Caenorhabditis elegans: one gene and its partner. The protein of the gene in region 1 interacts with the protein of each later gene in a pairwise test. Each region holds a gene or a part of one and is shown in the gene's direction. Other genes may lie near its edges.

Region 1 (7,877 bases):
GACCCTCGATCTCGATTTTTTTTTAGTAACACACACAAACTATTGAAAAAAACCAGGAAGAAACGAAAAGTTTGAGGGAATTGTGTTGCGTAAGCGTAAGAAAGTAAAAAGTTGCCGAAAAAAGTTTAAAGTGCAAAAAGACTTTTGATGTTCTAAAACGAAAGAAAAAATGATGAAAAATTCTGAAAAGGGGAACTGATGAAGTATGACTCAGCAAAGTGGCAACAGTTGGCTCCGATCTGGAGCAAGGAGCCAAGAGTCATATGAACTTGAAACATTTGTATGAATGGGGAGGTTCATGTGATTTCATATGTTTTAAAATAACTGGGAGGCATTTATTAATTTTAAAAAGATAAGTATTTAGTTTTAAGTAATTTTAGTTGTTGAAAACCAATAATTTTCTCATTAGCAATATTTTTGTACGATTCACTTATATGTTCTAATTTAATCTTATTGTTACAGTAATTCAACAGCCTAACGTTTTCGTCAAAAATTATTCCAATTAATGAACATTTTGTATTAATTGTAGACTTTGCACTCGAGCGTGTTGTTGCTCAAGAAATACCCTCGCATGTGATTTCTTTCAAACGAACATATTTAATAGTAACTCATTCAAATTACCTTCATCTCAATCCTGCATGCTGGAAGCTCATGTCTTCGTTTCTCATGGATTAATGTTCAATTTCAAAACTATAGAACAACAAAAAACACATTTTAGTCACCGCATATTCTCTGGTTATTACTAATTTCCAGAAGCTTCCGTTAGTTAAATCTTAGATTTCGATTCGTGCGTCCACAAAACCAATGCTGCGAGGATCTAGCTGTGCGCAGTGTAAATCAATTATGAATGCTCAATCTATGAAGGTGGATGGAGACTGCAATGTTTAAATATACGGTAACACATTTTTAATTGCAGTTAGATGCAAGCTGCCAACTAAAATGTATATTGAGACGCCCTTCGTCCAACGTAATTTTTATGAATAAAGTATATGAGAAGTTTCCGTGGCAAAAAAACCAAACGTAAATACACAGTAACATAAACAATAACAATGAAACTAACGGGTAACACTGGCGTGATAAGTTGGCCCCAACTCCGAGAATCTTCTATTTCACTTTTTCCTCAATTTTTCGTGTACATATTGACTCACATTGACGTAAAGTGGTTTCTAGGCACGCTTTGGAACTCTACTTTCAACTGGTTTCGAAATCTTGTGTTGCAGAAAATAAATACTACAAATGGCACGGATCTATTAGCAAGTGGGAGTCGGAAAAACAGAAAATAGAATGGATGAGACATTTTAGAAGTGGTAATGTATTAAATGTTTTTTGAAATGTTTAGCAAGAGTTTCAAAACTATCCAGAGAGCTGAACAAATATAAAACTGTTTCATTCCTTATATAAATATGAAATAACTTATTATCATGAATTGGATATTTAAAAATGATATTCAAATCTTCAAAGCCATCAAATTAACTTGCAGAGTTTTGTGGTATCAACTAGTTAATAAAATATATTTGGTTTTAATATTCGAATGATAAATATCATTAATGATATAATGATTTAATGATACATATTTTGTGTTGGCTCATTATATCATCATTTACTATATATAAAGCGCGTGTCCTTCTGTCCCTATGTAGTTTGATCTTTGATCAGAGCAACGAAATTTTGGGAAACCTTATGCTAAATGCGCAGCAGACATCGATCGAGGTCCGCGATAGACACCGTATATCTAATGTGTTTTCTCAAAAAGTCGGGGGCCGCGCCGTAGGTGCGGTCCACGGCTGGTTTAAATATAATGTATTATATATAGAATGCTTTGTAGACCAACACAGTTGGAAGTAACAAATTATTCCTAACTTTTCATAAAAGTTGAGGTGTCACTTTTCAATTTTGCAATTCATTGGAGTACACGTGAATCAAAATTTTGAATATCTAGTTAAGAAATTTGCAAACTTTGAATCATTTCCGAAAATTAATGCAAAATGGCCAAAAAAACGGGCGGTATCGAAAAAAGAAAAAAGAAAGAAGAGCTCGCTAGGTGAGTTCTTCAGAGGAGGTCGGCACCCATTCGGCGCCAAACTAATTGTCGATCAACGGCAGATGTCCATTTTTAGGACGGGGGACCATCCAATTATCGTTTCAGAACAAAAAAGTCATCGCCATCGTCGTCACCGACAAAAAGTGAACGTGGAGAACGGGAACGTACAAAATGGAGAAAAAAGCGAAGGGAAATTGAGCTCAAGAAGGTAGCTGAACAATTGGAGCAGCATCGTATTAGAGAAGAGGCGGAGCTTGCAAAAAGGTAGGAGTAATTTCCTTTTTTAATTATAAGGAACTTATTTCTTTTGCTTTGTTATTCATAAAAAAATATTTAATTGCAAAAAGTCATGTTTGTTGGTCAATTTCTTCAACCATTTTTACCGATTTTCATAAAACAGGTGGAAAAAAGCAATTTGATATGATAATCGATGTAGGTGGAATGTTGGTTTTTAGCTATTAAATTGAAATGTTTCTCAGAAACATAATCAAATAGGTATATTCGTATTAAAGTGAGGTAAACTTTGATATTTGGCATTACATCACTAAGTTTCAAAACTTTTTTTTTTCCGTAACTTAAAGTTTGGGTAGCATGAATTAATACTAATCTGGAACTATTTAAGATCCCTATAAAATAGTTGGCAACGTTTTGATTGAATTGGGGTTTGTCTTGAAGTACTCGAAAATTTTCAATTTCTGTAGTATCAACAAAGAGCAGCGATAAAAACCTAACGTAAACGCCACGTGGAGCCAGAACGTCTCATTTCGGTTTGATCTACATGAAATGCGGGAATTGAGACGCAGACATCTCATCTGATTTCGCACGGTGAAGAGCGTGCGGACGTCACAATTTTCTGGAACACTATTCCCGCATTTTTCGTAGATCAAACCGCAATGAGACAGCCTGACACCACGTGAAACGCGACTTTCCTAATAAGAACCAATCGGCGACTATCTCCGCCTACTACTGAAACAATCAACGGATGAAGGCGGAGTAGCGTCACTGATTGGTCTGAACGTAGGCGGAGCGAATCCCTTATTGGTCTTGTAGTTTTCACTTTAGAGTGATTGTAAAGATTAGAAAAGTTGCAATTTCAAATTTCGTTTTGTTATAAAATAAAGTGAACATTCTGATTTGTTGAATTTTCAAACAATTTCAGAAAAACGGAAAATCAGAAGAAAGAATTTCGTAAACGCCAAGAAATATTCGAGAAAGTATTTCAAGACGCTGAATCTGGACAAAAAGCAGTTGAGAATGTGATGAGTGATTATCGGGAGTCAAGAAATGCAATCAAAGTGCAGTTATATACCGATTCAAATGATTTTATTCAAACACAACAAATTGAAAAATCGGTGAGTTTATGGTTTCTGTTTTACGATTTGTTTTATGATTTATTAGTATATTTGGATACAGTGTATATTAAATATTTTATTCAATTTTTTTTAGACTTTCAAAAAAGTGGATCAAGGCTAAAACAAAATTGATTTTTTTTCCAGCATTTCAACGCTGCTGGAGACCGACTTCGTTCTTCTGAAATTCAATTATCAAAACTAGAGTCAGAATTGAAAAAGACAAAACAGGTAAGAATATATTTTTATGTTTATAGAACCTAGGGAAATACCCTGAACTTACAAGAAACTTATTTAATTATTGTATATAATTAAGCTAAAACTTTCAGATACGCGAAGAATATTATCAAGATTCCATGCAAAGTTGGTTTTCACGATTCTGGAAATATCTATATTGAAAATATTTCGTATTGTCACTATTGAATGAAATTTTAGCAAAAGCATAACAAAATTGAAGTTAACATATACAATCCAGTTTTGAACTTCCGCCAAAAACGGAAAATGCGTCAAGAAAGCTTGCTGGCGCTTTGAAGGATGGCGCAGAACCCGTTTTTCTTCTAGATTTTTAAACACAATTTTGTTTTCTTTCACTTCTTTTCCCACTAAAAACGATCAAAATGGCTGATATGGCTAAATTCGAAGAAGAAGTTAACAAGCTCAGAACTCTTGAAAAAGGTTAGTAACTGTTAATTTAAACAATCTTTTCAATCGTTTAATTATAGACCGCGAAAAGTACTTCACGAGTCGCCAAGAGATGGAAATGAGATTAACTGAGAGTAAAAATGTGAAAGCGGTAAGAAAAAGTTTGAGATTCAGTTTTCATGTTATCTTCATTCAGGAGCTTGATCTGATGGAATCCGACTCGAAAGTCTACAAACTCATCGGAGCGGTTCTTGTTCGTCAAGATTTGGAGGAGGCTCGATCGACTGTGGAGAAACGGCTTGAGTTTATCGACTCTGAGACGTGAGTTGTAACGTTTATCATGTTTCTTTAGTATTACTTCTTGCACGCTATTGATTTACACGAAACAAATAAAAATAACAAATAAATTTTACCTTTAAACGTTTTAAAATGCAACAAAACTTTAATTACAATTTTCAGCAAACGAGTGGAAGCCAGCATCTCAGACATTTCGAAGAAGTGTACGGAACAGCGAGACAAGGTGATGAATATGCAAAAAAGCTTCCAGATGATGGCTCAAGCAGCAGCCCAAGCACAGAAGAAATAATCCAGTTTGTTCTATGAATCTCATATTTTTTGCTCTTAATTTGTTATTTTTTGCCTATTCTTCATCTCTGGTGTTTCTCCGAAACGAGAAGATCACATTAATTTTTCTATGAAAAAAATAAGTTTCTTGTTTCGGGGAACCATTTACAATAAATGCTTTCAAACTGTTTTATACCATTTGTGCTCACGTCTATGTTAAAAGTCATTGCTAATTACATCAGTTCTGATTTATAACTATATTCATTTTCTTGCTATTCAGATGCATAATGGGTACCATTCTTATTTTCCTCCAAATCACTATTATGCTCAAAGTCAGCCATCATCGTCGTATAATCCCCAACCACAAATTCAACAACCGCAAACCCAAATATATGGATTGGTAGTTGGTTACAATAAATATGGAAACAGAAATTATCTTTTCTATACCAAAAATATCGATGGATTTGTCGAAATCAGTGGAAATATTCAGAGCCTGCAGATAGGACGCTGGCTAAAGTTAGACATTATTTTATCTGATTTTATTAACTAGCAATTTTAGATTAACTGTTTGTCAGAACTTCGTGGGACAATACGTATTGGATTCCTCAAATAGTTGTGGATATGAAAACTGGGACGTTTTGCCGAATCACAGAAATTCATCGGCGAGATTCTTTCCGAAGTATGAGGCTAACGATGAAGGAGAAATTTTGGTAATCTCAAATGGAAAAAGTTTTAATAAATAAAGAGTACGGATTTTTATAATTTTTCAGATAACAGCTCGATTTGATGTAATAGTAGATCGGAAAAATAATTTGTATGATTTCACCAGTTACGATATTTCCTATGATCATATTATTGACGACTTTAGTCTGATCAAATCATCATGTCAACACTATGATGGACGCAGTTTTATTGTTGAAGTAAGTTATCGATTTTAAAAAAAACTATTAAAATAAAAATATTGCAGGCTCAAGCATCTCTGGCAGGTTGGGTCGCATTGAGTGTGCATGAAGATCCACAAAAGCTACACACCTGTGATGCTGTAAGCCGAAATGGATATCAATCAGTATGTGGCAAAAGTGTCCTGGTTCATTTTGAATTGTTCACATTTTGGTTTTTGCTTATCAAAATTTCCCAGAACATATAAGCCACAACCTCCTGCAGTTTACATAATATAATTTCAGCTCCCGAATCCAGTCGTTGATTCTGATGTACAGTATCTTCATGATACAAGACTGTTGGATGTATGTGACTTATAGTTCAGAATTTTTCAAGTAATCACATTTTTAGATTATGACTGGTAATGGATATGTTCAAACACCCGAAACCGACGTACAAGATCAACAATCAAGTCAACATCAAGAAGACGTGCATTCTCAAATGAACTCGCAGACATCTGATTCGTACAATTCCTCTAGAGTTGTGTCAGAGAATCGGGAAATACCTCCGGAAACTTTTCGAAGCCAAAGTATCGAATTGAATCAAGTTGATTCATCCTTGTCCCAGACTACAATCTCAAGTCGAGCAGCACCAGTTATTGATTCAAATCAGTTATCAGATGAAGATGAAATTGATGATGAAGATACATACGGAACACGTGGAACATCTAATATTCCGATGAGACCGTTTATTAAAGATTTAGCTCCAACGATGCTTCAACTGCTTCGTCAAGATAAAACTGATTCCGAAAAAGTACGTAATGCCAGAACAATAATATTAATCTTCATCACCATATTTCAGCCTCAATCTGCTTTATGCACCGTTGTGCAAAAAATCGATGGCTTTGCAATTTTGTACACAGCCAAAAGAGACGTTATAAACGTTTTGCTTCAAGAAAGATCGTGTGAAGGATTGGAAAGATCCCCTCAACTCGGAGACGTGGCATTCTTCGATATCTTGCCTCGTAGAATTGAAACAAAAGATAGGCTCATTTTCAAGATTCCATATACACATATTGCAGGTATTTTACAATTTACCAATGTTTTAAAAAAACTTTAATTTTAAGTGAAAAAGAAACCAGACACGCCAGATTCTCTCCTTAAAATTGATTGCTTTAAAAACTCGGTCAGATGCTTCGGAGGAGTGCTTGAAATGAAAGTAAAAATCGCACTTTCAAAACCTGAACTAGTAGTGGAGCAATATCATGACAACACAGAGATGAACTCGGATCATCATTTTTATTATTTGAAAGCAACAAATGGAGTACTTGTCACAATTCCAAAAGAACGTCTTCTGAATCATTTGAATTCGAAATTATCAGCAGATTTTGACCTAATCGCGTGGGTTGTTCATCGAAAACCAATTGGAAATGTTTCATTACATATTGGAAAGGGAGGTGAAGCTTATCAACAGTTCACAAATGGAGATATTCGAGAGCTTCCGCCATTGTCTTCTAATCAATATTTCATGAATGGTAAGTAAGAGGGAAACCGAGTTTTCGAAGAAACCTAGGAGAATTCTTGGTTTTCTATTCAAATTATTATTTCAGTTCGAAAGTAAAAACTGCACAATCGACAAATCACGTTATGGGTTCAAATTGTATTCTGGTACATTAATTCTTGTTCTTGTGTTAACTTTTTTGATTATTTTTTGTATCATTTTACTGATTAAAGCATTTATTTTCACATGTTTATTGTTTATTTCTCGTTGTCTAGCGTTTTCATCGTTTGAAATATATTGCATATTGGTTATTTTTTGCCCATTTTTCAATATTTTAGTATGGCTTCCTCTTTGGTTAAAACCGCTTTGCGTCTTGCTTACCGTAATCCAGTTAGGTCAGGGTTACTGTAGGCAAGGTGTCTTTATCGATTCCACCATTTTTCAGGTTTACAAAGAGAAACATGTCGGAAGTAGATAAAGCCCACTTGGCGGCAATTAACAAAGATGTTCAAGCCAACGACACTCTTTTCGGAAAAATAATTCGAAAAGAGATTCCAGCGAAAATCATTTTTGAAGATGATGAGGTATGTAAGATCAGGCAAACGATCACATAAAATATTTATTTAAGGCTCTCGCATTCCATGATGTCTCTCCACAAGCTCCAATTCATTTTCTTGTGATCCCTAAGCGTCGCATTGATATGCTCGAGAATGCCGTTGATTCGGATGCTGCGCTTATTGGAAAGCTTATGGTTACTGCTTCAAAGGTAATTATAAATGAGTAAAAACGAATTTGAAAATCCAGAAATCTCCATTATATTACTCTTAAATAAAATTCCAGGTTGCAAAGCAGCTCGGCATGGCCAATGGATACCGTGTTGTTGTGAACAATGGAAAAGATGG
Region 2 (5,295 bases), on another chromosome or scaffold:
GGATCAGAACATCTGTCACTTTAGGTCAGGAAAAACTGAAACTTCTGATAAAACTACAGTAACTTCTGATACTAAAGATTAATTGATAACTGTATCAATAAAACAATGACACCTTTGGAGGCCATATTCAATCTTTTAGGCCACTTTTTGTTAGCAGAAGAGACCGAAAGTTCTCAACATAATGGTCATTGATACCGTAATCCAACCTCACTGATCAGATCATTCGTCACTTTTCAAAATAAGTGTAGCAACCTGTTCCAGACGGAAAAACAAAAAATTGGTATTGTTATCATAATATAGACATATTAATAAGAGGTGTGATGACTGAATACAATAGTAAACAGGGATTGCTTTTTGTGAAAAGTTAAAAAAACGAACGTGAGGGATTTAATTTCATGAAACTACAGTTGGAAAAGTTGTGACGTCACACATGAGAGTGCAATTTTGGTAAGGACAAGTACAAGAGCAATTACCTAGTAAGGGTTTGCAAAGTTCAGATCTGGACGGAGTTCTAGCGAATACAAAAGATCAGAGAATGAATTTTAAAAGAAACAAATAAATATAAATCAAAGTCTTCTTTTTGAAGCAACTTCCGGTCTATCAAATCCTATCTTGATTACGGTAACTTATAGATCAAATTCAAAAAGTACAAGAAGTACGGTCAGATTCAAAGATCATTTTTGAAACAAGGAAATGTTTCTAAAGACTTTCACGTGGATTCATGTATACATATTTACAGTTTTATATGTCAAATATCACATGAAAATCTCTGTACTTTTCTTAAAAACAATAGGCGGAGCTTATAACCTTTAGAGATGTGATCAACGTCATTTCTATCTTTATCTAATTGATTGATAAGTCTCTAAAAATAGAGAATTTGATATGAGAACTGGTGTTAGAAAATCTTTAAAGAATAGAAAGAAGATGACTTTTGAAAGTCTCTTTCACGTTATCATTTTGAGACATAATTGGAAAAATTAGAGAGATTAGAGAAAAGGAAATTGAATGATAAGGAGATGAAAGTGATATCTTTGAAGGTTCAAAACAACTTTTCCACTTCGAGAAGATTCGTCTATAAAAAGGAAACAATTTTATGAAGGGATCTTTGTGAGTTTATAGAATTCTAGGGGTTGTAGTAGCTTTACCTTTCCAAAAAATGTTGTATTTCAGTTATGCCTTTTTCAAATGAAACAGATCCGCCAAGAAGTTCCAAACTGCAAATGATGTTTGATTTTCGAACTAATAGTTCAAAGTATCCCAGTCTAATTTATTATACACCGGAATTTTTTTATGATTCAACAAATAAAAAAGTGAAGGCGAAATCGGGGAATACCCTCAAGAAGATACACAACATTGCAGGGAAACAAAGGAGAAAAGTCTGGTGTTGGAGCTAAATGTCTTCAAATAAAAGTTACAAAATCGGTATTAATTGGTTGGAATCTCCATAAAATATTATTCAATTAATTTTTCTAAAAAAAAAACACCTTCAATATATTTTGATGAATAGAGCAAAAATCTACTTTTCGTCCTTCCTTAAAATATTATTTTTGAATTACCGCCAACAGTGGCCGTGGCCGCGCACATTTGAATTTTCTAGGCCAATGGTTCAATTCGAGAAAATTTCACCGATTTTTAATGCTTATTTTTTCATTATCCTTTTATCCATTTTTAGATCATAATTTCAATAAAGATTGTTATAAATATTCTTCTTTAATAATTATAAATAATTTTAGAATGGCAGAAGAACCGAAAGGAGTACCGCTGTCAGAGCTCAGCTTGCAACAACTCGGAGAACTCCAGAAGAATTGCGAACAAGAATTAAACTTCTTCCAGGAGTCTTTCAATGCTCTTAAAGTTTGTTGAATTTCGTATTTGTTTTTCAAATTAATAAAAATATTTGCAGGGTCTTTTAACGCGGAACGAAAAAAGTATTTCTGCTTTGGACGATGTGAAAATTGCAACTGCAGGACATACAGCTCTCATTCCACTTTCTGAATCGGTATATTTTCATTGTACTTTTTTAATAATTAATGATTATTCAGCTCTACATCCGTGCTGAACTATCTGATCCATCAAAGCATTTGGTGGAGATCGGAACTGGATACTTCGTGGAGCTGGACCGCGAGAAAGCCAAAGCAATTTTTGACCGTAAAAAGGAACATATTACAAAGCAGGTACGAACATCGAAAGTGTCTTACTTGAGTATTTAATCTTATTTATATCAGGTTGAGACAGTTGAGGGAATTCTGAAAGAGAAGCGAAGAACTCGGGCCTATATTTCGGACGCATTCCAGACCAAGGTTCAGTCTCAACTCGCCACGATGAATACACAATAAATGTCTGCCGAGAAATCTACTTCTGAAAATCTCTTGCTTTTCCGATATTCAAATTGTTGTTATCAATTTTCGATTTTAATACTACACCTTGCATTGATTCTTGTTCAAAATAATATGTTTCTTGCTTCTTTTTTGTATTCTAGCTAGTGGTTCGCGTTCAAACGCCTTGAGTACTTACAGTTCGAAAAAATAATTACTTTAAAATCTAACTTCAGAAGTAATGAGAGTTCAACCGGTGACAAACTGCGAGAAGGCTGTGATATTAGAGGCGCTGAAAATTGGAAAAGTAAACTGGTTTCATTGGATTTATTTTTAATTTTTTTTTCAGAGATTTGATTTTCGTAGTCTGGAAGAATTTCGGGATGTGAAGTTAGTGGTCGGAGCAGAAGTTGGAACTGCAATTTGCACTATTGGAAATACAAAGTTCGTTAGTTTTTCCTTATTATTTATAGTCATAAATTTTGAATTTTCAGAGTAATGGCTGCAGTAAGTGCCGAAATCGCTGAACCATCGTCAATGAGACCACACAAAGGAGTTATTAATATTGACGTTGATTTGAGTCCAATGGCTAATTATGGTTAGATTCCTATTTTTGATTAACAATTATCCTTTTTTTAGCCAATGAGCATGACCGTCTCGGGAGCAAAGGAATGGAACTGATTCGTCTATTGGAGCTTATTATTCGTGATTCTCGGTGTATTGATGTTGAGGTGAATTGAGCTGTAGAGAACTTAAATTACAAAAATAAATTCCAGGCTCTCTGCATTCGCGCTGGAAAAGAAATTTGGAAAATTCGAGTAGATGTCCGAATTCTTGACGAAGATGGAAGTCTTCTTGATTGTGCTTGTCTCGCTGCTATCACAGCTCTTCAGCATTTTAGACGACCAAATGTCACTTTGGAACCACATCACACTCTTATCGTGAGTTTGAATTTTTTTAAAGTTCTTAAGTAATCACAAATTTCAGTATTCGGAATACGAAAAAGCACCAGTTCCATTGAACATTTACCATATGCCAATTTGTACAACCATCGGATTATTGGATAAAGGGTTTGATTTCTGTCACAAATTCATTTTAATTTTTAATTTTCAGACAAATTGTAGTCATCGATCCAACAGATAAAGAAACTGCATGTCTTGATGGATCAATTGTAGTTGCCTGCAATAAGCGTCGCGAAGTTTGTGCCCTCCATCAGAGCACAAATCTCATTTTATCAACAAAGCAGGTATTCAATTTCGCATTTCAAATTTTCGAATATGACTTTAAAATTATTAAGATCGAGCGTTGCGTAAAGTTGGCAATGGCTCGTGCGGAAGCGCTCACTGCAGTTGTTAGTGACGTCATTAAACAGGATCAAATTGAAAGGTAACATTAGATTTTCAAATTTTGAAATTATTATTCAATTGTAAAATATTTCAGAAGCGCATTCAAACGTCCGGATGGTTTTGCAATCACCACTCCATCACTCATTCTCACAGCTGGAACTACAGCTTCTCGTCAAATTCGTGCTCCTGTAATCAAAACTGAGCCTGAGTCGTTCACACAGAGAAGTCTCTACCAACCAAGTGTTATTCTTAATGAGAATCCATTGAGTGTCGGATCAGTCAAGCAAGAAGATGTTGATGAGGAGACATTGCTCGCCGAGCAACTTACAACTATTCAGAATAGTGTTGGACAAGTTGAAGTGACTGAGAAGCAGACTGTTGCAGTTTCCAGCCGAAAGGTTTGTGAAATTAAGATTTTATTTAAACATTTTTTTACTATTTATTACTGTTTAAGCGCGAAGTAGAGGAAGTCAACGATCTTCTTGACGGACTCGACGATGACGACGAGGAGGAAGAAGTTCAAACAATGACACTGGGATCCGAAACAGTATTGAACGACGTGCCAATGGAAGAAGCTCCAGATGCCGAAGATAGCCTCGTGAATGCTAAAAAGAAAAAGAAGAAGTAGTTTAGATGCCGCTAATTTCTTTAATTTGTTGTCTTTTTCATTCCTTCCCATTTTTATTTGTTCGCAATGTTGCCTTGTTGTGTTTATGAATCGTTTAAAGTTTCATTCGGGAAGTACGGGATTCAGTTGAATAAGACATTTAGCAGCTAAATATTCCTGAACAGAGATTGACATGAGATAGAGAAAAAAACCAATGCAATATTTATATTATTAAGAAACCATGAGATCATGAGAATGCCTACCGTTGTTTTAATATCTCGTAGCGAAGGCACCTAAATCTCTCTTCGCCGCATGCTCTCTGCTTCCGCTACTTTCGTGCCAGAAAGTAGGCATTCTCATGAACTGGTGGTCTCTTAATACGCTGATACGAAATTTTGCGATTTCTGTTCAAAAAATACGGTACCGGTCTCGATAAGACAAGGTTTTGTAATTTAAAAATGCTGTGCGCCTTGGAAGATTACTGTAATTTTAAACTTTCGTAGCTACGAAAATTTCCTAAATTTTTCGTATTATAAATATATTAGCTTAGCAACGAGATTTTAAAATTACAGTAATCCTTAAAGGCGCACACCCTTTTCAATAAATTTTAGTCGTGTCGAGACCAGGTACCGTATGTTTGACGCAAAAACAGCGAAACATTGCGTTTAAGTATAATGCTCCACAAACACCATGAAATCATCATTACACCATGATGCTGCTCGTTTCGTTGCCAAGAGGGCGACAGAGGAAGAATCCCTGTCACACCTCGATCGGGGGAAGTGCCTAATCTGACCCTGAAGGATATACCTGTCAAATTAGTTTTAGCTAAAAACTTATGCATCTTCCGTGTAAATTCAAAAAAAAAGTTCACGCAAACTCTTATCAAGATTCATTTTAAAAGAGTGTTCGATTTTTAAAAAAATCAGTTTCTAATATTTTCGTCGTACAAATCGGACGGAACTCGGATCACCATAAAATAAAATGAGCAAGAAAATGGATTCAAAAAGAAAGAAGGAACGCTCTCGTA

What was found. Proteins that work in one complex are often made in the same cells at the same time.
Region 2: the proteins of pfd-6 (region 1) and pfd-5 interact in a two-hybrid assay, tested with the Caenorhabditis elegans proteins (2 studies listed by BioGRID).

What each region holds. Positions count from the first base shown.
Region 1 is NC_003279.8:7,279,871-7,287,747, reverse strand, and holds pfd-6 (putative prefoldin subunit 6), read left to right. Parts: upstream 1-3,985; 5' UTR 3,986-4,007; coding exon 4,008-4,065; intron 4,066-4,112; coding exon 4,113-4,183; intron 4,184-4,228; coding exon 4,229-4,353; intron 4,354-4,491; coding exon 4,492-4,618; 3' UTR 4,619-4,784; downstream 4,785-7,877. Other genes in the region: F21C3.6 (DUF4200 domain-containing protein), read left to right, coding at 1,986-2,041, 2,147-2,305, 3,201-3,393, 3,538-3,621, 3,720-3,788; rde-2 (SH2 domain-containing protein), read left to right, coding at 4,877-5,112, 5,156-5,306, 5,367-5,516, 5,564-5,662, 5,781-5,840, 5,887-6,288, 6,337-6,556, 6,602-7,009 and 1 more; hint-1 (Histidine triad nucleotide-binding protein 1), read left to right, coding at 7,437-7,559, 7,604-7,741, 7,816-7,877. UniProt on the Caenorhabditis elegans protein: Binds specifically to cytosolic chaperonin (c-CPN) and transfers target proteins to it. Binds to nascent polypeptide chain and promotes folding in an environment in which there are many competing pathways for nonnative proteins.
Region 2 is NC_003281.10:7,195,323-7,200,617, reverse strand, and holds pfd-5 (putative prefoldin subunit 5), read left to right. Parts: upstream 1-1,733; 5' UTR 1,734-1,734; coding exon 1,735-1,854; intron 1,855-1,903; coding exon 1,904-1,999; intron 2,000-2,042; coding exon 2,043-2,174; intron 2,175-2,225; coding exon 2,226-2,336; 3' UTR 2,337-2,467; downstream 2,468-5,295. Other genes in the region: exos-9 (Exosome complex component RRP45), read left to right, coding at 2,557-2,622, 2,665-2,759, 2,810-2,913, 2,955-3,046, 3,092-3,256, 3,303-3,385, 3,429-3,561, 3,613-3,701 and 2 more; F37C12.18 (CDT1 domain-containing protein), read left to right, coding at 5,250-5,295. UniProt on the Caenorhabditis elegans protein: Binds specifically to cytosolic chaperonin (c-CPN) and transfers target proteins to it. Binds to nascent polypeptide chain and promotes folding in an environment in which there are many competing pathways for nonnative proteins.